Linked DNA regions of Arabidopsis thaliana. The protein of the gene in region 1 interacts with the protein of each later gene in a pairwise test. Each region holds a gene or a part of one and is shown in the gene's direction. Other genes may lie near its edges. The genes, in order: AT4G18205, AHA10 and AT1G19450.

Region 1 (7,542 bases):
ATTAAAAGGTTTCAATAATTCAAAGTCAACGGTAAACATCTTTACAGAAATATGATGCACTTGTTCCCACCAACCTTCATATATATAAAAGCTTTACCAAAACTCTGTTTGTGGGAAGTCCTCTTAGAGTGGTCATGGAAATAACTCAAGTAATCTATGTCAATGGTAAGCAAGATGCATCTCGTAGTGTAGATTACTTGATTCTTTTCGCTAACCTGTTGTTTTTGATGTTTTCAGATCATAACAACATAGAAGCAAACCTAACAGGTCAGGAGGAAATGAATACCACCATGGAAATCGAATCTTCGTCCGTACCTCAATCGAAGAACTATAAGAAATGGCTTCGTATTTCCATTTACGTGTTCTTTGTCCTTGCTTGCCAAGCACTTTCTACAATTTTGGGCAGAGTTTACTATGAAAATGGTGGGAAGAGTACATGGATGGGAACACTTGTCCAACTAATCGGCTTCCCTGTTCTGTTTCTCTTCCGCTTCTTTTCCCAAACCAAAAATCCCAAACCAACAGAAGCAGATTTCAGAAAGTTCTCTTCCTTCACCATTCTTGGATCAGTTTACATCGTTACTGGACTATTAGTGTCTGCTAACTCTTATATGTCCTCTGTTGGTTTACTATACTTACCAGTTTCTACTTTCTCCCTCATCTTGGCCTCACAATTGGCCTTCACTGCCTTCTTCTCATATTTTCTAAACTCGCAGAAGTTCACACCTTTCATTGTGAATTCTCTGTTTCTCCTTACTATTTCCTCTGCCCTCCTCGTGGTCAACACTGATTCGGAAAACACAGCAAAAGTGTCTAGAGTAAAATATGTGATAGGGATAATATGTACCATTGGTGCTTCTGCTGGGATTGGATTGCTGCTATCCCTGGTACAACTGATCCTCAGGAAGGTTTTAAAGAAGCAAACATTCTCAACGGTCACTGACTTGGTCGCTTACCAATCTCTAGTTGCAAGCTGTGTGGTTCTCATAGGACTTTTCGCAAGCGGGGAGTGGAAAACTTTAACAAGTGAGATGGAAAACTACAAACTGGGGAAAGTGCCATACGTTATGACTTTGGCCTCGATAGCTATTTCCTGGCAAGTCTACACCATTGGCGTCGTGGGACTGATCTTTGAGTCATCTTCTGTGTTCTCCAATTCCATAACTGCTGTGGGATTGCCTATAGTTCCAGTTGTAGCAGTGATTGTTTTCCATGATAAAATGAACGCGTCAAAGATCTTCTCCATCATTTTAGCTATCTGGGGATTCATTTCATTTGTCTATCAGCACTACCTCGACGAAAAGAAGTTGAAGACTAGCCACACAAGTCCTGTAGGAGATCCTCATCTACTACCTGCTGAGGAAGGTCACACAAACATACATAGTGTATGATCAAAACATATTTCCAGTGTAAAGCCAATGTATCTTTGTACAGTTTGAGCATAGATATAAAAACGTGTATCTCTAGTCAATCATAAGTAACTGATAAGTTTTGTACATAAGATACCAATAGTTCGGATCTTTTTTACTTCTATATACCGGAGATACCCATAACTTAAAGATGCAAATGCAATACTCTGCTTTGTCATTTTGCAATGCATTTGAATCACCAAAAAACAAGAGCAAACATCGATAGCAGAGAGGCAAATAGGCTAAAGCATCCTTGGAAAACCAGAGCTTTGAACAAAAAAAAAGAAACAAGTGAACAAAAATAATACCCACTTACCTGGAAGCCACTGACATAACAAATAACCAATGTAGTGACTTGAACAGTGCCTTGTAAAAAGACTCCTTAAAATACCAAAAACGTATACTCCAGGAGCTTGGATTCTTGTATCTTTGTTGACTTCTGATTAAACGTCAGTAGACACTGAGAAAATAAAAAAAATTCTCGTAGAGCCGCCATTCAAAAGTTTCAAGAATTCCACAAGTCAAGTGTAAGCAAATAAGAAAAGTCACCGGTCAACATGAGACTACTAAATAATGATACTGCTACTGTCATCTATCGCCTGCCCCATCCATATAATACGATTTACTAAAAGCCTGCCATGTTTGATAATGCAACTTGTGTAGGGTATTTAGATGTTTTTTTGTAATACCATCAATGTGTGTTTAAAGAAAGGCCTCTTGTGTATCTGCACGACATCTCAAACAAAACCAATCAATAAAAACAAGAAACAATCTTCTTTCTCATGGACAGATCTCAAGAACACTATGCCAATGGTAAGAAGAAGCACCTGATAAAGTTAGATCCTTGAATTCATTTTTTCATGAGATATAATAAACATGAGTGTTAATTTTTCAGGTGACCAGAACTTAGAAGCAAACCTTATAGATCATGAGGTGGTAACTGAATCATCATCATCAGCTGTGCCTCAAACCGAGAACTATAAAAGGTGGCTTCGTGTCTCCATATACGTAATCTTTGTCCTCTTTTGCCAGCCACTAGCTACAATTCTGGGTAGATTGTACTATGAAAATGGAGGAAATAGCACATATGTGGTAACACTTCTTCAACTCATTGGCTTCCCTGTACTGGTTCTGTTCCGCTTCTTTTCTCGAATCAGGCAACCCAAATCAACAGATACAAATTTCAGTCAGTCCCCTTCCTTCACCACCCTTGCATCGGTTTACTTGTGCACTGGACTGCTAGTGTCCGCTTATGCTTATTTGTCTGCAGTAGGGTTGCTCTACTTACCAGTCTCTACTTTCTCCCTCATCTTGGCCTCACAGTTGGCCTTCACTGCCTTTTTCTCATATTTCCTTAACTCGCAAAAGTTCACTCCTTTGATAGTCAGTTCTTTGCTTCTCCTCACTGTATCCTCTGCTCTTCTTGTGGTCAACACTGATTCAGAAAACTCAACTAATGTATCTAGAGTACAGTATGTGATCGGGTTCATATGTACCATCGGTGCTTCCGCTGGGATTGGACTGTTACTATCTCTGATACAAATGCTCTTCAGGAAAGTTTTCACGAAGCATACATCCTCAGCAGTCACGGACTTGGCCATTTACCAGTCTCTAGTTGCGAGTTGTGTAGTTCTCATAGGACTTTTTGCAAGTGGAGAGTGGGAAACTTTGCCAAGTGAGATGAGAAACTACAAACTCGGGAAAGTGTCATATGTTTTGACTTTAGCCTCGGCAGCTATTTCCTGGCAAGTCTACACTCTTGGTCTTGTGGGATTGATCTTCGAGTCATCCTCTGTGTTCTCCAATTCCATAACAGCTGTGGGATTGCCTATAGTTCCAGTTGCGGCAGTGATAGTTTTCCATGATAGAATGGACGCATCAAAAATCTTCTCCATTATTTTAGCTATCTGCGGCTTCCTTTCATTCGTCTATCAGCACTACCTCGACGAAAAGAAGTTGAATACTAGCCACACAAGTGCTGTAGGAGATCTTCATCTACCTGTTGAGGAAGGTCACACAAACATACAAAGTGTGTGATCAAAGCATATTTCCAGTATAAAGCCAATGTATCTTTCTTTTTTTCCCCTCAAAGGCCAAAGCCAATGTATCTTTGTACAGTTTGAGCATAAAAAACGTGTAACGCTACTTTGCAAACTAGTCAGTCATAATAGCTAATAAGTTTTGTACATATGATACCAATAATTTCAGAATATTTTTCTTCTATATATACCAATAAGTTTTCTTAAAGATGCAAATGCAATACTCTGCTTTGTAATTTTGCAATGCATTTGAAACACCGAATCAAGAGCAAACAACGAAGTCAGAGAGACAAATAGGCTAAAACAGAGCTTTGAGCAAAAAAAAAAAACAAGTGAACAGATATAATACCCACTTACTTGGAAGCCACTGACATAACAGATAAACAATGTAGTGACTTGCAACAAAACTCCTTAAAATACCAAAAACGTATACTCTAGGAGCTTGGCTTCTTGTATCTTTGTTGACTTCTGATTTAACGTCAATAGACACTGAGGAAAAAGAGTTCTCTTAGAGCCGCCATTCAAAAGTTTTAAGAATTTTAAGTCAAGTGTAAGCAAATAAGAAAGGTCAATGGTCAGCATGAGACTACTAAATTATGATACTGCTGTCATCTATCACCTGACCCATCTTTATTATTATACACAAATTAGTAAAAGTCTGCCAAGTTTGATTAGTGCAACTTGTATCTGGGGTATTTAGTTACTATAATAAATATCATTTTGTGTATAAAGAAAGGTCTCTTCTGTATCTAAAAGACATATCAAACGAAAGAAATCAATAAACACAATATTCTTTCTTCCAAATTTTCTCATTTCTCATGGGCATATCTCAAGTACACTATTGCAATGGTAAGCAAAAGGTACCTGATGACGTTAGATCATTTGATCCTCTTTCGATGAAATATAATAACCACGAGTGTTAATTTTTCAGGTGACCAGAACTTAGAAGCAAACCTTCTAGATCATGAGGAAACTGAATCATTTTCAGTACCTCAAACGAAGAACTGTAAGAGGTGGCTCCGTGTCTCCATATACGCAATCTTTGTCATCTTCTGCCAACCACTTGCTACAGTTCTGGGTAGACTGTACTATGAAAATGGAGGGAAAAGCACATATGTGGTAACACTTCTTCAACTCATTGGCTTCCCTGTACTGATTCTCTTCCGCTTCTTTTCTCGAATCAGGCAACCCAAATCAACAGATACAAATTTCAGTCAGTCCCCTTCCTTCACCACCCTTGCATCGGTTTACTTGTGCACTGGACTGCTAGTGTCTGCTTATGCTTATTTGTCTGCAGTTGGGTTGCTTTACTTACCAGTCTCTACTTTCTCCCTCATCTTGGCCTCACAGTTGGCCTTCACTGCCTTTTTCTCATATTTCCTTAACTCGCAAAAGTTCACTCCTTTGATAGTCAATTCTTTGTTTCTCCTTACGGTTTCCTCTGCCCTCCTCGTGGTCAACACTGATTCAGAAAACACAACAAATGTATCTAGAGTACAATATGTGATTGGGTTCATCTGTACCATTGGTGCTTCCGCTGGGATTGGATTGGTACTATCTCTGATACAACTGCTCTTCAGGAAAGTTTTCACGAAGCATACATCCTCAGCAGTCCTGGACTTGGCCAATTACCAGTCTCTAGTTGCAACTTGTGTGGTACTCATAGGACTGTTTGCAAGTGGAGAGTGGAGAACTCTGCCAAGTGAGATGAGAAACTACAAACTGGGGAAAGTGTCATATATCTTGACTTTGGCCTCAGCAGCTATTTTCTGGCAAGTATACACTGTTGGTTGTGTGGGATTAATCTTCGAGTCTTCTTCTGTGTTCTCCAATTCCATAACTGCTGTGGGACTGCCTATAGTTCCAGTTGTAGCAGTGATAGTTTTCCATGATAAGATGGATGCATCAAAGATTTTCTCCATCATTTTAGCTATCTGGGGCTTCCTTTCATTTGTCTATCAGCACTACCTCGACGAAAAGAAGTTGAAGACTTGCCAGACAAAACCTGTTGAGGAAGAAACACAAACTTTATGAAACAAGTTGTATCGAAGGTCTCAGAAACAAACATACATAGTTGTACACAGTCATGTAAATAACCTATATAAAGCTTGTATGTGTAATATCCGTAATGGTCCATGCAAATGGGATATGTATGTCGCTCATATTTCAGGTATTTAGAACTTTTATTCAAAAGAGTATTGTGTAATACGAGCAGAGTGATAAAAGCAGTCATTTATTTAACAGAAAAACCATGTCAATTTTGTGATACTTTCATTGTGTGAGTGTGAAACCCGATAAAAATTGACCAGTTAGCATAACTTACAGATATGTCAATGCAATATTCTCCTTTCTAGTTTTGAAATGCACCTAAATCTTGGGAAACAAGAACAAACAGCAAATCATGTATAATGAGAGATAGAAGATAATTTGTCAGATTGGTCCAACATCCTTGGGGAAACAGAGCTTTGAACAAAAAGTAAATGACCAGAAATAATACCATTTTATATAGCGACTTCCTCTGCCGTCCAGTATTAAGTTGTTGCGAATGTCTTCTCTTGAAAAGATAGGCGAGACATAATCTTTAGCTAACGTCAGCATCATCTTGATGGCAAAAACTTCATGACTAGCCATGGAAACCGAAGTGTGTACCCAATCCAAATAAATTTAAAAAGACAAATAACTTTTAGAAATGTCGTCCTCATCAAGATCACAGAATACTACAACTTGTGTACACGTTCATACATATGCGTATGCGTGTTAAGTTTCTATTTGTCTATGCGTATGGGGTTCATGTCCTCCACATAGTTGCAGAAGAAAGTCTGAATGAATATTGCCTACACATAATTTCCTCCTAGACTTAACTCATCTCTTGGTCAACAATAGAGGCATCTTTGCATGTAGAAAGACTACAGATACTAAATTCATGGAAAGAGAAGAGATATGGTTGGCATTTACTGAATGTGGGGCCAAGAACAAAGAAAACTTAGACGGTGACCGATTCCTAATCCCAGAATATATAACTTAGCATATCTCACCCATATCAAAGGAGCAATCACTTGGTAGCATTATCAACCAAGAGAATTGATAATAAGATACGTTAGTTCCTCCTTGTCCATCTCCAAGGTGGTGATTCCACATCCACCATGACGGCGGATCAAGAACTACAAATCATTGGTGAGTAAGCATAAACCAGTTTGTGGTGAACGTCCTATTCTTTCATCTTCAAAAAAAAAAAAGATGGTTATGATATTTTATAATTCAATATATGAAACGATCGACAACAAATAAACTAATTTTTGCGTTATTTTCACTCACTTACCAGTTCGGCAGGGAAAAGAACCAAATCCAACAGTTCAAGATGAAAGAAATTCAGTCAGTAGCAGCCAAGCAGAAGTATCTCACTCTAACACATACAAACGGTGGCTCAGGGTGACTTTATATACATTCTTTGTCATTTCAGGCCAAACAGTTGCTACAATTTTGGGCAGAGTATACTATGACAACGGAGGAAACAGTAAATGGCTAGCAACGGTAGTTCAACTTGTTGGCTTTCCTGTGCTACTTCCATATTATATCTTGTCATTTAAAACACATGCAACAACTGATAGAGATGGAAAAAGAACCTCACCTAGGAACCGTGTATTGGTTTACGTAGTGCTTGGACTTCTTGTAGGAGCAGATTGCTATCTGTACTCCATTGGACTTCTTTACTTACCCGTTTCTACCTATTCCCTGATCTGTGCATCTCAGTTAGCCTTCAATGCTTTCTTCTCTTATTTTCTTAACTCACAAAAACTTACCCCTATCATTTTAAATTCTCTTTTCCTCCTAACTATATCTTCCACCCTACTTGCATTCAATAATGAGGAGACAGACTCCACAAAAGTTACAAAAGGAGAGTATGTCAAAGGTTTCATATGCACCGTTGCTGCGTCTGCTGGTTATGGTCTAGTCTTATCCCTACAACAGCTAGCCTTTCTAAAAGTCCTAAAGAAGCAAAATTTCTCAGAAGTTATGGATATGATAATCTACGTGAGTCTAGTGGCCAGTTGTGTTAGCGTGGTGGGGCTTTTTGCTAGCAGTGAGTGGAAAAC
Region 2 (7,542 bases), on another chromosome or scaffold:
GATTTGAGGATTTTGATAAAGCCTGCACATTCTATCTAGTAATACGCAGCGAGCAGAATCAATCTAAAACCATCACATTTAACCACTGTTTCTTTACAATGTATAGGAAAAAATTACTTACTAATGAAAGCATCGAGTCTAGCAAAAAAGCACCAGTAAAAACAGTAGGAAACAAAAAATCCAGTGGCAACTCCGAGAATAAAAATAAACTTCAACTCCTCTTCATCCTCTGTATCCGCTTTATTTGTGGTTGTAGCAGGCAGCTTTGTTGAAGCCTTGCAGGAAGTCAGCAGTATGCCACCGCACAACAAGGGGTTTCCTTTAAAATTTGCTTGTGGAAAAGTATCAAACTGACTTCCTGTGGGTATTGGCCCGTCGAGACTGTTGTTCACCACGTTGAAATAAGACATATAATGGAGGCTTGTTAGCGACCAAGGAATTCTACCAGATAAGTGATTGTTGGACAGGTCAAGCCTCTCTAAGCTGGTGAGTTTCGACAACTCATGTGGGATGATGCCAGACAAATAGTTATGAGAAAGCTCGAGGACATGAAGAACCTTTAACTGGCCAACTTCGATCGGTATACTTCCTTTCAGGTTATTCCTTCTTATGTAGATCCCAGGTGGGAGGCTAAACAGCTGATTGTATTGCTGATGAGTTGTAACATTATTGGGACTGACAAAAACTGGCAGCTTTAGATAGTTCCTTTCTGTTGCGTCGTAGGCCTTTTGGGACATCAGAGCCTTTAGTTGGAATAAATCCTTCGGCAGCTCTCCTGAAAGAAGATTTTCTGAGAGATCAATATAGAAAAGGTGGGGAAAAGTTCCCAACCAACCAGGAATTGACCCTACAAGCTGGTTGTGGGACAAATCTATGACTGCTAAGCTCTTCAATTTGATTAGCCAAGCTGGTATTTCACCTCTCAGTCCAGATCCACCGCTAGCAAATATTTGGAGATTAGGGAATCCATCTGAGGAAATCAAGTCTTTGTCGCTTGGAAATGTTTCGTTGTAAAAATTCTTTCCTATGAGGAGAGTGGACAGATTCCTGCAGCCCTGCAGAATTCCAAGAGCGCCTGTAATGTTCATCAGTTTATTGTCTGAAAGAGACAAGATCGATAGAGATTCAAGTTCCAGTACGTGAGGAGATATCTGTCCTGTTAACTTATTGCTTGCAAATCTCATCGCTGATAGAGATTTGCAGGAGTGAACCCTCCAAGGGAAATCACCGCTGAAGCTATTGTTTCCGAGATCTAGAATGCTAAGGCTCTGAAAGCGGGAAAAGTCAAGCTCTGATAAGGTTCCTTCCAGCCGATTAAGCCTCAGATTCAACTTGACGAGATTAGTACAATTTGCAAGAGAAGGCGGGACTGTACCAGTGATGTTATTGATATGGAGTTGGAGGCTTTGCAGGCGAGAGAGCTGACCTATGTCCATTGGTATTTCTCCTCCAAGGTGATTGGAGTACAGCTCGAGCGATTTTAGTTTTGTGAGGTGGGTGATGTCATCATTGATCTTTCCAGAAAGATGATTGACGGGTAGAAAGAGTTGCTCGAGCTCCGAAAGATTGTATATGTCACTTGGGATTTCACCAGAGATATTGTTGAAGCCTGCTTGTAGAACACTTAGCTTCAAACATCTCCCTAGTCCTTGCGGAATATTACCGGTAAAATCATTGTAGGAGAAATCCAGTTTGCTGAGCTGCGGTGAACTCTTGCACATAAACGAAGGGATTGAGCCTGTGAAGCTGTTCTTGCTGACATTGAAACTGATTAAATCGAAAGTTCCTTGCATAAAAATAGAACTAGGGAGGATTTCGCCTTGGAGAAAATTGCTTGACAGATCAACTATCCGAATTGGGAAACATCTGTTGCTTCCATTTCTAAATGTTTGTTCAACTGGCAACTCACCATCGAGGCTGTTGTAACTAAGATCAAGAACTTTGAGCTGATCAAGGGCTGAGAGAAAGCCAGATGGGAGATGACCGGAGAGACGGTTATGAGAAAGATTGAGTTGAGAGAGATGGTGGAGACGCAGAACAGACAAAGGGAGTTTACCATATAGTGCTCTAAAGGGCAATGAGATTGCAGTGATGTGGCTATCCGGGGAATCATCGCAGGTTATTCCTTCCCATGAGCAACAATCAATGGATGGGTTCCAATTCAGAGGAGAAACAGAAGAAGAAACGTTTCCAGAGAACCACAGTAGGGATTCTCGATCTTGCGAGTTGCAGAGAGCCTCTGAAACTGCAATAGAAAGGACACTGATGAAAAGAACACACTGAAGGAGTATGCCAATCATGTGAAAACTCAGAGCTTGTATTGGTCTTGTGGTTGATGAAGTTCTCACAAAACCTTTGGCTTTGAATCTCCCCTCATTAGTCATGGTGAGAACAAGAACAAGACGAGAAACAGACAAAGAAGATGAAAAAACTTGTTGGCCAGTGTTGACTAAGGGGGAATAGCCCAGACATAACAAAATTAGACTTGTCGTACATCTTTAATATTTTTTTTATCTGTTTCTTTGTCCTGACGCTTTCATTATTCCTGTGATCAATTTTCTCATACCATTGGTCCATCGTTAATCCTTTCTCAATTTCATTTTCTACGTAACATGAGAGGAGACCAAGTCCTATGAGAACAGTTGACGTAACAGTGGTTGTTAAGTTAAGTTAAAAAGAGGAAGCTAGTGAGAGTGACCGTTAGGTAGAGAAGTGAGATCTTTAACCACTCTTCTTTCTCTCTCTCTCTGCTTTTTTCGTCGTCTTTCACATCTACTGTTCGCAAACTCTCTTATGCTTCCAATAATGGTGATACCAATTGAGACTTGCAGGAGAATCTCCTCTTCTCCACACTCTATCAACTGGTCAGCCATGGAATGGTCGTTTCAGTTTCAATATTCCTGGATTCTTTTTAAGGATTCCTGTTTCTCTTCTGTTCCTGGTATATTCTTAACGACGAAATTAGTATCGGATCCTGGTAATACATTTTGAAGCTTTTAAGTATGGCCGAGGATTTGGACAAGCCATTGCTGGATCCTGATACTTTCAACAGAAAAGGAATTGATTTGGTAAATGTTCCTTTTAACTGTATACTCTTATTAGTACTTGAATTCTTAGTGGCAAAAAAGGGTTTTGACCCTTCTTGAGCTTGACAGGGTATATTGCCGTTGGAGGAGGTTTTTGAATACCTAAGAACATCGCCTCAAGGGCTTTTATCTGGAGATGCTGAAGAGAGATTGAAGATATTTGGTCCTAACAGACTTGAAGAGAAACAGGTAATAAACATGACATTCTTCTTAGTGTTCCTGCCAATTGTCTCTATTATCTTGTGCTAACCGCCATTTAAAACAACAATGATACAGGAGAACAGATTTGTGAAATTCTTAGGTTTTATGTGGAATCCCTTGTCATGGGTTATGGAAGCTGCTGCATTGATGGCCATTGCCCTCGCTAATAGTCAAGTAAGACAACCACAGTTTTGCTACCATTTTCCATCCATGAGTGTTTATGAAAAAGCACCTTGAAACTCATGGTGAAAATGGTATTACAGAGTCTAGGTCCTGACTGGGAAGACTTTACTGGAATCGTTTGCCTTTTGCTGATCAACGCAACAATCAGCTTCTTTGAAGAAAACAATGCTGGGAATGCTGCTGCAGCTCTTATGGCTCGCTTGGCTTTAAAAACAAGAGTATGGCTCTTAACCTTCCTATGAGCCGAAACGGCAAAGTTAGCTGCACTTTAATTTCTATATTACCTTAAATTTGATTTAGATCCACTCTTATAGGTTCTTAGAGATGGACAGTGGCAAGAACAAGATGCTTCTATCTTGGTACCTGGTGATATAATTAGCATTAAGCTTGGGGATATCATTCCTGCAGATGCTCGCCTTCTTGAAGGAGACCCCTTGAAGATTGATCAGGTACGTCCAGAATATCTAGTCTCTATTCTTTTAGTGTGTACTATGTAAAGACTTTCTCTGACAGAATAGTTAAAACATTTATTCCTGCAGTCAGTGCTGACCGGAGAATCACTACCTGTGACCAAGAAGAAGGGTGAACAGGTCTTTTCTGGCTCTACTTGTAAACAAGGTGAAATAGAAGCTGTTGTGATAGCAACTGGATCGACCACCTTCTTTGGAAAAACAGCACGCTTGGTGGACAGTACAGATGTAACTGGACATTTTCAGCAGGTTTTCCTTCTTTCTTTCCCTTTTGGTTGGATAGAACCTGATTAGTGAACTTGGAATCTGGAAAAACCGAATGTAGTCTTTGACATGTTTTCTTCTAGGTTCTTACATCGATTGGAAACTTCTGCATTTGCTCCATTGCTGTTGGAATGGTTCTTGAAATCATTATCATGTTCCCTGTACAACATCGCTCTTACAGAATTGGGATCAATAATCTTCTTGTACTACTGATTGGAGGGATACCCATTGCCATGCCCACTGTACTATCTGTAACGCTTGCCATTGGATCTCATCGACTTTCACAACAGGTACATCCCACTTTAAGCTGCTGAATGCAAAAGGAAGTCCTTTGTTTGTTATTCTTTAAAACAGTTTGTTAGCAATAATCTGTTTCTTCATGTTCTCTAAGGGTGCCATTACGAAAAGAATGACCGCAATAGAGGAAATGGCTGGGATGGATGTACTCTGCTGTGATAAAACTGGAACCCTTACTTTGAACAGTCTTACCGTTGATAAAAATCTTATTGAGGTACCAATACTACAGATGCGACTTGAATTTCATCAAACAATACTGTTAAGAACAGTTGCCTCCTTCTTCATCGTCTTGTTCTCTATTGTTGGTGTTTAAATGTACAAATCCTTCTGCACAGGTATTCGTTGACTACATGGACAAGGATACAATTTTGTTGCTTGCAGGCCGAGCTTCACGACTAGAAAATCAGGATGCTATAGATGCAGCCATTGTTAGCATGCTTGCAGATCCCAGAGAGGTAGAGATGTTTCTCTAACATGAACTCTCTTTTATAAGACTATCACCTTCTTAGAAGTTTTTCTCATACAAAGGTTGTTTATCTGTAGGCACGTGCAAACATTAGAGAAATCCATTTCTTACCATTCAATCCTGTGGACAAACGTACTGCAATAACGTATATTGATTCCGATGGAAAATGGTATCGTGCTACCAAAGGTGCTCCTGAACAGGTATGTATTCTTAGCACTACCAAACTGACTCTAGTTGTAAAAATTTAGTGAATTTTTTTGTACTGTTTCCATGAAAGAAATACCATCACTAATACAACTGCACTATATTATAGGTTCTAAACTTGTGTCAGCAGAAAAATGAGATTGCGCAAAGAGTTTATGCCATCATTGATAGATTTGCAGAAAAAGGTTTGAGGTCTCTTGCGGTTGCTTATCAGGTAACATCATTGTCCTCTCCCTTTCTCTCTTGAGCTGGTTTTATCATAAGTGTACTTTTGAAGAAGAACGTTATGATGACATTAATTACTCCAATTCATTGCATCATTTAAATAATTGTTTCTAGGAAATTCCAGAGAAAAGCAACAACAGTCCTGGAGGACCATGGAGGTTCTGTGGTCTGTTGCCACTGTTTGATCCCCCAAGGCATGATAGCGGTGAAACCATCCTTAGAGCTCTTAGCCTGGGAGTTTGCGTTAAGATGATCACTGGTAAATCTTAACCTTTAGCTTGGTAGGCTTGGCCCGACAGAGAAACACATATACCCTTGTGAGTAAACGGTAAAACTCTGGGAAAATGAATGATAAGTTTGGAACCACATGTAGGTGATCAATTGGCGATTGCAAAGGAGACAGGCAGACGTCTTGGAATGGGAACCAACATGTATCCTTCTTCCTCTTTGTTAGGCCACAACAATGATGAGCATGAAGCCATTCCAGTGGATGAGCTAATTGAAATGGCAGATGGATTTGCTGGAGTTTTCCCTGGTCATATTCTAACACAACCTTAGTACCTACGAAATTTAAGATTTGCTCTCATTTCTAATCCCAAATTTTTTTTGTCTCTCATGTTACAGAACATAAGTATGAGATTGTAAAGATTTTACAAGAAATGAAGCATGTGGTTGGAATGACCGGAGATGGTGTGAATGATGCTCCTGCTCTCAAAAAAGCTGACATCGGAATAGCTGTCGCAGATGCAACAGATGCTGCAAGAAGTTCTGCTGACATAGTACTAACTGATCCCGGCTTAAGTGTAATTATCAGTGCTGTCTTGACCAGCAGAGCCATTTTCCAGCGGATGAGGAACTATACAGTAAGTACTAAAGTTATAGTTATACTACTATCATCTGATCCCTGATAGCTAAAGAAATGAAAAATCATATAATATAGGATATGGATTTCAAGTAGCCTGATGACATTCTCAACTAGCTTATGTTTTTCTCTGAATTACCGACTAATCAGTACGAATCTGCAGGTATATGCAGTCTCTATCACCATACGCATAGTGGTAAGGAGCTTCATGATACATGATCTAACTCATGTTAGTTAAGTTACATCAACTTACTTGAACTTTCTCTTCTTGACATTGTTTCATGCAGCTTGGTTTTACACTTTTAGCGTTGATATGGGAATACGACTTCCCACCTTTCATGGTTCTGATAATCGCAATACTCAATGACGGTAATCTCTTAATCAATAGCTTCATATTGATGTAACCTAATTTTTATCACTTTCAAACGCTATGTTTATCTCCTACGCATCAGGGACTATCATGACTATTTCTAAAGATCGAGTTAGGCCATCTCCTACACCCGAGAGTTGGAAGCTCAACCAGATATTTGCGACAGGAATTGTCATTGGAACATATCTAGCATTGGTCACCGTCCTGTTTTACTGGATCATTGTTTCTACCACCTTCTTCGAGGTATCTTCCTATCACTCAAAGTAAGTTAGATTTTGCTTACCGAGAAGAATGCATACCGGTGACCAATCTTTAATGGCTGCAGAAACACTTCCATGTAAAATCAATTGCCAACAACAGTGAACAAGTGTCATCCGCGATGTATCTCCAAGTGAGCATCATCAGTCAGGCACTCATATTTGTAACACGTAGTCGAGGCTGGTCATTTTTTGAACGTCCCGGGACTCTCCTGATTTTTGCCTTCATTCTTGCTCAACTTGTACGAATTCCCCATACTTCGCATTTTTTCCATCACAGAATGCTATATAGCACACATAGGTCGTGATATTGACTTGTCCATTTCATGTACACAGGCGGCTACATTAATTGCTGTGTATGCCAACATCAGCTTTGCTAAAATCACCGGCATTGGATGGAGATGGGCAGGTGTTATATGGTTATACAGTCTGATATTTTACATACCTCTAGATGTTATAAAGTTTGTCTTTCACTACGCATTGAGTGGAGAAGCTTGGAATCTCGTATTGGACCGTAAGGTTGGTACATGTCCTGTGTCTCTTGTCCTCTGCTTGTTAGTCAGTCTCACACTTAAACTATGCATTTTCTTGAAGATGAGACCGTTGGTTTGTCTTGCAGACAGCTTTTACTTACAAGAAAGATTATGGGAAAGATGA
Region 3 (7,542 bases), on another chromosome or scaffold:
TAAAGAAAGGTTTCGGAAAGACCGAGGCGCGAACGCGTTTCGTAGAGTTCTGACGAAGCGATGAGATTGAAAAAGTAACTTGAGACGGAAGATAGACTAGGGTAATCACATTTCCGGATGAGTGCGACGCAAGCTTCCGTGAGCTCGTTTGGAATTGGAAAAGATACCGAGCGATTATCTTTTTCTTCTTCCTCCTTGGGCTTCTTGTTTTGATTCTCGTTTCTTGTCGCGATTCTTCTACTTCTTCTCAAAACTTGTTCTTCTGGTTTCTTGTTTGGATCTCCGCCGTCATTAGAGTCGCCGGAAATTTCAGAGATATTAGCCATCGTCGTCTGTGAAGTCAGCAGCGAGAAATAATGAAAACAGAGCCTGATTTGGTTTCTGGAAAAACTCGTGTATTTATAGCCATAATGAAAACAGAGCCTGATATAGTGTTTTAACTTTACAATGTGGGCTTTCAAGCCGAAGAGTATGGATCCTTATTAAAGCCCAAATTTGGTTACTTAAATTAGCCTCTATAAGTCCACTAATTGTCTAATACACACTGCATTTTAAATTCGATTATTATTCTCAATAAAAATTATTAAATCAATTAGAACACTACTCCCAACAATAAAAGAGAAAATAAAAAATAATTGATCCAAAGTTTTTAATGTATAATCGTGTTAACGATCATAGATAGATTTATGCCAAGATAAATGTGACATGTACAATCGTGTTGCATGTACTCGTTAAATGGTGAAAATCGTGTTACTTATTGATATTAAAACCGATAAAAGTATCAGACCAACTAAGCAAAGTGGGGACAATGGAAGAGAATGCTTGTGTCGGGATCCGGAAACGGCTACACAGAGATGTAAGCACTAACACGTGAGAGATGAGAAAGAGACAAAAGACCCAGAACAGTGAAAATATACGAATCTGCATTGTTGGGTCAACAGAATATTATTATATGTTGAACGATGAATCAGAGCCTATGAATCATAACCCCAATAAGACGTGTTTGGTGTGATATCTACTGGCCTTTCTTGTCGTTGCCTCTATCGACCATAGATTTATCTCGATTTAGAAGTTCTTTAAAAAAATAAAACCTCGTGTATGTAACTTGTGTGATTTTGGGATCTCAATTATGCCGACGTTATTAACAACTAAGAAGATTAACAACTAACAGGTTACATACGTATCATATTTAAAAAATTACTTAAATGTTTCCCAATTCATTCATCTGTAAATAACACTCTGTTTTTCTTTTTTTTTAAAAATATATCTTCAATGAATTTTAGAAAAAAGAGAGAATGACTTTTGTGGAGATTTTTTTTTTTTTTTCCAATACATATATTTTATTCACCAATACAACATCAAATGTCATCTAAATTTATGTTTTAAAACATAATGTTATTGGTAAACATTGAAAATGTCATCTAAACTTATGTTTTAAAACATAACTAGATCATAACTCGTGCTATACAGCACGAACATTAATATTTTGTATAAATTAAATTGTATACTTTATTATGTTTGCTATGTTTGTCAAAATTATTTGTTATATTTGTCAAACTTTAGTAAAATATATTTAAATATAATTAAATTTATTAAAATTTAATAAATTTAAAAGTTTTTGTTGTTTGGAGACGCATTATCTACATACAAAATACCTGTTTCTATTTTTTGAGTATTTTTAGGGCCTGAAACTTTTTATCCAAACTGACCTAAACCCAAATGGACGCGATCCGAACCGAATATTTAGAATTATTCTATTAGGTAGTAAATCATATACCCATTAATCCCAAATCCGAACGGGTTATACCCGAACTCGAATGGGTTACTCATATGCCTAGCCCTATTCTCTGATTTAATTATCTAAAAAATCCCAATAAAACATATGTTTTGGTGACTACTTTTTATTCAAAAAAATTTACATCTTCTTCTGCCAAAATCATTTCATAAGACATCCCAAAACCCTTGGAATAATGATTCCATGAATGAAGAATCCTAATTTGAATATACCAAGAGGTTTTGAAAGGTTTTAAGTTTTTGATAGGTGTGTATGTGAGATGGTACATCCATCGTGATGGTAATCGGCTTATTTATAATTTTAACTTGCATTATACAGCAGGTAGTCTTATATTTTAGTTAAACTAAAAACTTTTATTGTAAAGTTGATTATAAATATATGATATTATTTTATTTGATTTTAAATGTATAGTAAACTGCGAGTTGTATATGTTTTGTTGATATTATTTATATTGTTTAGTGTTTAAAATTATATACTTGTATTTTGATTGTTAATTTTAAAGTTTCACATATAGTATATCATCTTGTATTAATATTGATTTAAACCCGTCAATTGTAGGATTTTTCAGCTTGTATTAAAAATTGAATCACATCATACACATTAAAAAATCTAATATGTTATTAATTATTGTAGTATATAAGATTATAAATTTTAAAATAATATGTATGAAATTGAATATAAATATTCAAACTATGACACAGTACTCAGTAAAAAAATTTCTTAAATCTACTTTTGACCCGTTATAGTATTTTTTCATGTATTGAACAGTTTATATTCGTTTTTAAAAATTCAAATTGTGGCATATGCGAAAAAATTCTAATTATTTTTTTATAACGATGATATTATTTTTTTGCAAAAATAGAATCATATAAAGATGAGAGGTGAACTATAATAATTAATAAAAAATTAATATGATAATTTAGATATCAAATCTAATTTGTTGATTTTAATTGGTTACTTTTTTGGAAATTAATAATGTATTTCGTTTTTGAGTTAAATTTAATTAATTAAATTAGTATTTGACTTTTAATTTTTAAAGAAATAAATTAATTTACTCTTTAAAATCTTATTTCTAATGACATACCTATGTAATTACTTACAAAAAAATAAAGTTATATTTAAAATGTATTTCCTAAATAATATAGTAGGATGTTATTGGTAAACATTGAAATAACATGTCGTATTCTCAAAGATTTTAAATATTGAAAATAAATAAATAATGTTGTATCTGAATAAATATTTATATTTATTGAAGTATTCGAAATTAATGACATCCATATATTTTTCATATACTAGAAAACAAAAACTATAATTATTCGAGTTTATCTAATAAAATAATGTCACTTGCATATTTGTGACCTATCGACATCAATATCAACGAGGTAGCGAAAATGCTAAAAAGTAGAGGAGGATTCGAGCATTATATTCATATTTAAGTGTTACTTTAATAATCTTATTATTTGTCCTAAATTGAAGTTTTAGCTAAATTTTCTCCCACAATATTGTTATTCTGATTTTGTTAAGAGTTAGGACAACATCTAAATATGAATTCTATAATGCATGCTAACTATTATTATAAGTGCTAAAATATAAAATGACATTGTCACTTTTTGTTGTCAAAAGGAATGTCTAGTGGCCTCGTATTCTAATATGGGAAGTTTTAATTATTATTCCTACCAAAAAATATCTTTGAAGTAGACAGTTTACCTAAACAAAAAGAAAAACATTTTCTTAAAAATACAATATAGTTTAGTCTCAGCCTGTACCACAATTTTATAGTATTGTTGCGTAATTAGTTACATTGTAAAAGCTCATTATAATACTAATGAGTATGTAGAAGTATGTAGAAGAAAATAAATGATTCAAAGCGACTACAAATGCTTGTATATGTGAGCGAACATGGGACAATGATTCAAAAAATTATCTTTGCGCAAAAAATAACTCGAAAACGACAATCAGACAAAAAAAAACAATAGTTAAATTTGATATAAAAGAATTTAAAATGAACGATATCTTATTTAATTACAAATTAAAATGTTTTTAAATTAAGTTTTTTTTTGTCGACAGAGAAGAAAAAAAACAGGTCCCTTTACGAATTCTATAAATCGATGTTAGGCGACGCGTTCTGAGGTGGAAAACTATGAAACAGTCTGCGTCTCTCCACGCAAAGGCTCAATTTTTACAAACCATGAAGAATTCTTAAGCAAAACAAGTCTAACATCTTTTTGAATTCACCCAAAACTCAAATCCTACCTCAAATTTCGTATTTTTCTTCTTCTGCATTTTCTAGTTTAGGATCGACATTTTTATCCTCCGAAAGATTCGTGCTTTTTTCTCTCTGTAGATTACGATTGTTTTGTAGATTTAAGAAAAACAAAAAGATGAGTTTTAGGGATGATAATACGGAAGAGGGAAGAAATGATCTTCGGCGACCGTTCTTACACACAGGAAGTTGGTATCGGATGGGTTCGAGACAATCTAGTATGTTGGAATCGTCTCAAGTTATTCGAGACAGCTCAATTTCTGTCTTAGCTTGTGTTTTGATTGTTGCTCTTGGTCCTATTCAATTCGGATTCACTGTAAGAACAACATAAACAAATATCTCAACTTTCTTATATTTTTTTTTATCAATGTGGATTTCTCTGCTTTTGCTCAAATTGACTAAGAAAGTGTTGATTTTGATTTATCTTTTTGTTTTCAGTGTGGTTATTCCTCACCAACTCAAGCTGCCATTACTAAGGATCTTGGTTTAACTGTATCAGAGGTATGAAGGTCCCATCTTTATTTAAGAACTGTTCTGTTTTTTTTTTTTTTTTTTGTAAAGACTCTTGTTCTGTAATTTTCTGACTTTTAGGTTTCTTGTTTGATGTTTTAGTACTCTGTGTTTGGGTCTCTATCCAATGTGGGTGCTATGGTTGGAGCAATTGCGAGTGGTCAGATTGCTGAATACGTTGGACGGAAAGGGGTATAATAGTTTTGTTTCTTGATTCTAAAACATGTTCTCATCTGTGACAATTTGTCATGTAACATCTTCTTTCTTGTTGTATCTTATTTACTGTGTTTTTCTTTCCTTTTGACAGTCTCTGATGATTGCTGCAATTCCCAATATTATTGGATGGCTTTCGATATCATTTGCAAAAGTGAGTGTTTTGGTGTTCTCAAAGTTTCTGATATTCTTGGCTTATCTCTATACCTACTAAGTTGTTGTTGTTCTTGGTTTTTGTTTAGGATACTTCTTTTCTTTACATGGGAAGATTGTTAGAAGGCTTCGGAGTTGGGATTATCTCCTATACGGTAATATTAGATTCAACTATTTCTTTGATTTCAGCAATGTTTGTTTGGAGTGATCAATATAATTACACACCTTTGAATTGCGATTTTAGGTTCCCGTATATATAGCTGAGATCGCTCCACAGACCATGAGAGGAGCCTTAGGTTCAGTTAACCAGGTTTGTCATGTTTAGTTAGCTTCACTATTTTTATGTTTCATTTTATGAGCTGATTCATATGTTAACACTAAACAATAAATGTTTTGTGTTTATAGCTTTCTGTAACAATTGGGATAATGCTGGCGTATTTACTCGGTCTCTTTGTTCCATGGAGAATTCTTGCAGTTTTGGGTAACTCACAAAACATTTTGACTTGACTTGGGAGAAACTATACCTGTTTTTATTTTATTTTGATCGATACAGTCTAATCACTTTCTTGTTTGTCTTCTTTATGTTTAGGAGTATTGCCATGTACATTGTTGATACCGGGTCTTTTTTTCATTCCTGAATCTCCTCGGTGGTTGGTATGCCTCTACAACCGTATTGCTTATATTGTTGAGTTTGTTGCATTATTGGTTATCCTAAATTGTTTTGGTGTTGTAATTGTAGGCAAAGATGGGTTTGACAGATGATTTCGAAACTTCATTGCAAGTTCTTCGTGGATTTGAGACTGATATTACCGTTGAGGTTAATGAAATCAAGGTAGTGACTAAACTGAAGAAATGCTTTGATGTGATTTCTTGTCTTATTTAAAATTTTCATTTTATGCACTCTGCAGAGATCTGTGGCATCATCTAGCAAACGTTCTGCAGTTCGGTTTGTAGACCTCAAGCGCAGGAGATACTATTTCCCACTGATGGTGCAATTTCTCTTACCTCTCTTGAACTAATTTTGTCAACACATGAGAGAAACTCACTCTTTTCCTGTAATCTGTGTTACAGGTTGGTATAGGGCTGCTTGCACTTCAACAACTTGGAGGAATCAATGGTGTCTTGTTCTATTCGAGTACAATTTTTGAATCTGCAGGTAGAGTCATATGTTTTTTTTGATTATTGGAATGGTCCTAAGATAGAATAAACAGATTTCTAACTATGCTTCTTTGTTTGCAATTATCATTCACTAAGGGGTGACATCAAGTAATGTGGCGACATTTGGAGTTGGCGTTGTTCAGGTATATCATTTCAATCTAGGAGACATTAGATTCGATTTTTCTAACCGTTGTTCATTCTATACCAGGTAGTGGCGACTGGGATAGCGACATGGTTGGTGGATAAAGCAGGTCGTCGGCTTCTACTCATGGTGAAGAATATTTGAGATTCATCTGTATATCTTACAAAGTCTGAAGAATTTATGTATGCATAACATAATATTAGCATTTTCTTCTGAAATGCAGATCTCTTCTATCGGAATGACGATAAGCCTCGTGATTGTAGCAGTTGCATTTTACCTTAAGGTAACATTTTAACTTTTGACATCTCTACTTGTACAATGTAAGAGTGTCACTCTAATTATGAGATATTGAGGTTTCTTAATCTTTTGTTAGGAATTTGTATCACCTGATTCCAACATGTACAACATTCTAAGCATGGTTTCCGTAGTTGGAGTTGTGGTAAGTCGTTTGTTTTATACATTCACACAACGAAAGATACTTTCTTATTTACATATTTCCCGGTATGTGTACTAAATCTGGCTGAGTTATTTACAGGCTATGGTTATTTCTTGCTCTCTAGGAATGGGACCAATTCCATGGCTGATTATGTCTGAGGTACTAAATATTAAAACATGGTGTTCCTTAGTGTTAAAATCACAACTGGAAATTTTAATACTGATTAATGTTGGTAAAACAGATTCTGCCAGTGAATATAAAGGGTTTAGCCGGAAGTATAGCAACTTTGTTAAACTGGTTCGTGTCATGGTTAGTGACAATGACTGCAAATATGCTGTTAGCATGGAGCAGTGGGGGAACTTTCACTCTCTACGCTTTGGTTTGTGGATTCACTGTGGTTTTTGTGAGTCTTTGGGTTCCTGAGACTAAAGGAAAAACGCTTGAAGAGATCCAAGCTTTGTTCAGATGATCAAAACAAGAAGAGGAAGAAGAAGACAAAATTTTCACTTTTTGCTTTCTCCATTACAGATCATTCTTTTGTCCCTTCCCTGTGTCTGTATTTCATGCTTTGTTCAATGTATTTCTTCTTGACATTGATTATAATTTGTTTATCTTGTACAAGCATATCATTATACCTTTAAATTTGATTTTTTGTTTTTGTGTGTAATTTTTCGGATTCTCAAGATTAATAGCACTATATTTGTGTATTCAACAATATCTTGAATTAAGTATAGAAAATCAGAAATGCAAATGTTAGTGTTTTGGATCCAAATGGGAAAGCTACCATGTGATAGAAACTGCTTTGGGAGTTTTGTTGTTTGGCGAACATGAAAGGACTATTTCCAATGCAAACGGCGGTCGATTTGAAAAAG

What was found.
Region 2: the proteins of AT4G18205 (region 1) and AHA10 interact in a protein complementation assay, tested with the Arabidopsis thaliana proteins (one large-scale study listed by BioGRID).
Region 3: the proteins of AT4G18205 (region 1) and AT1G19450 interact in a protein complementation assay, tested with the Arabidopsis thaliana proteins (one large-scale study listed by BioGRID).

Annotation. Positions count from the first base shown.
Region 1 is NC_003075.7:10,069,584-10,077,125, forward strand, and holds AT4G18205 (Nucleotide-sugar transporter family protein), read left to right. Parts: upstream 1-4,127; 5' UTR 4,128-4,266; coding exon 4,267-4,297; intron 4,298-4,379; coding exon 4,380-5,482; 3' UTR 5,483-5,787; downstream 5,788-7,542. Other genes in the region: PUP8 (purine permease 8), read left to right, coding at 135-165, 238-1,391; PUP7 (purine permease 7), read left to right, coding at 2,192-2,222, 2,305-3,446; AT4G18203 (uncharacterized protein), read right to left, coding at 3,161-3,337, 3,869-3,916, 4,068-4,076; PUP10 (purine permease 10), read left to right, coding at 6,592-6,622, 6,771-7,542.
Region 2 is NC_003070.9:5,901,056-5,908,597, forward strand, and holds the start of AHA10 (autoinhibited H[+]-ATPase), read left to right. Parts: upstream 1-3,002; coding exon 3,003-3,068; intron 3,069-3,155; coding exon 3,156-3,275; intron 3,276-3,362; coding exon 3,363-3,461; intron 3,462-3,550; coding exon 3,551-3,688; intron 3,689-3,784; coding exon 3,785-3,919; intron 3,920-4,009; coding exon 4,010-4,189; intron 4,190-4,287; coding exon 4,288-4,494; intron 4,495-4,595; coding exon 4,596-4,715; intron 4,716-4,836; coding exon 4,837-4,956; intron 4,957-5,044; coding exon 5,045-5,167; intron 5,168-5,280; coding exon 5,281-5,385; intron 5,386-5,510; coding exon 5,511-5,655; intron 5,656-5,769; coding exon 5,770-5,931; intron 5,932-6,020; coding exon 6,021-6,259; intron 6,260-6,421; coding exon 6,422-6,454; intron 6,455-6,545; coding exon 6,546-6,627; intron 6,628-6,710; coding exon 6,711-6,871; intron 6,872-6,953; coding exon 6,954-7,127; intron 7,128-7,221; coding exon 7,222-7,404; intron 7,405-7,504; coding exon 7,505-7,542. Other genes in the region: RLP3 (receptor like protein 3), read right to left, coding at 114-2,384. UniProt on the Arabidopsis thaliana protein: The plasma membrane H(+) ATPase of plants and fungi generates a proton gradient that drives the active transport of nutrients by H(+)-symport. The resulting external acidification and/or internal alkinization may mediate growth responses.
Region 3 is NC_003070.9:6,731,268-6,738,809, reverse strand, and holds AT1G19450 (Major facilitator superfamily protein), read left to right. Parts: upstream 1-3,785; 5' UTR 3,786-4,176; coding exon 4,177-4,374; intron 4,375-4,496; coding exon 4,497-4,559; intron 4,560-4,670; coding exon 4,671-4,760; intron 4,761-4,875; coding exon 4,876-4,935; intron 4,936-5,023; coding exon 5,024-5,089; intron 5,090-5,178; coding exon 5,179-5,244; intron 5,245-5,339; coding exon 5,340-5,415; intron 5,416-5,523; coding exon 5,524-5,588; intron 5,589-5,673; coding exon 5,674-5,766; intron 5,767-5,842; coding exon 5,843-5,923; intron 5,924-6,005; coding exon 6,006-6,090; intron 6,091-6,188; coding exon 6,189-6,235; intron 6,236-6,300; coding exon 6,301-6,363; intron 6,364-6,457; coding exon 6,458-6,517; intron 6,518-6,607; coding exon 6,608-6,673; intron 6,674-6,769; coding exon 6,770-6,829; intron 6,830-6,911; coding exon 6,912-7,139; 3' UTR 7,140-7,399; downstream 7,400-7,542. Other genes in the region: AT1G19460 (Galactose oxidase/kelch repeat superfamily protein), read right to left, coding at 1-326.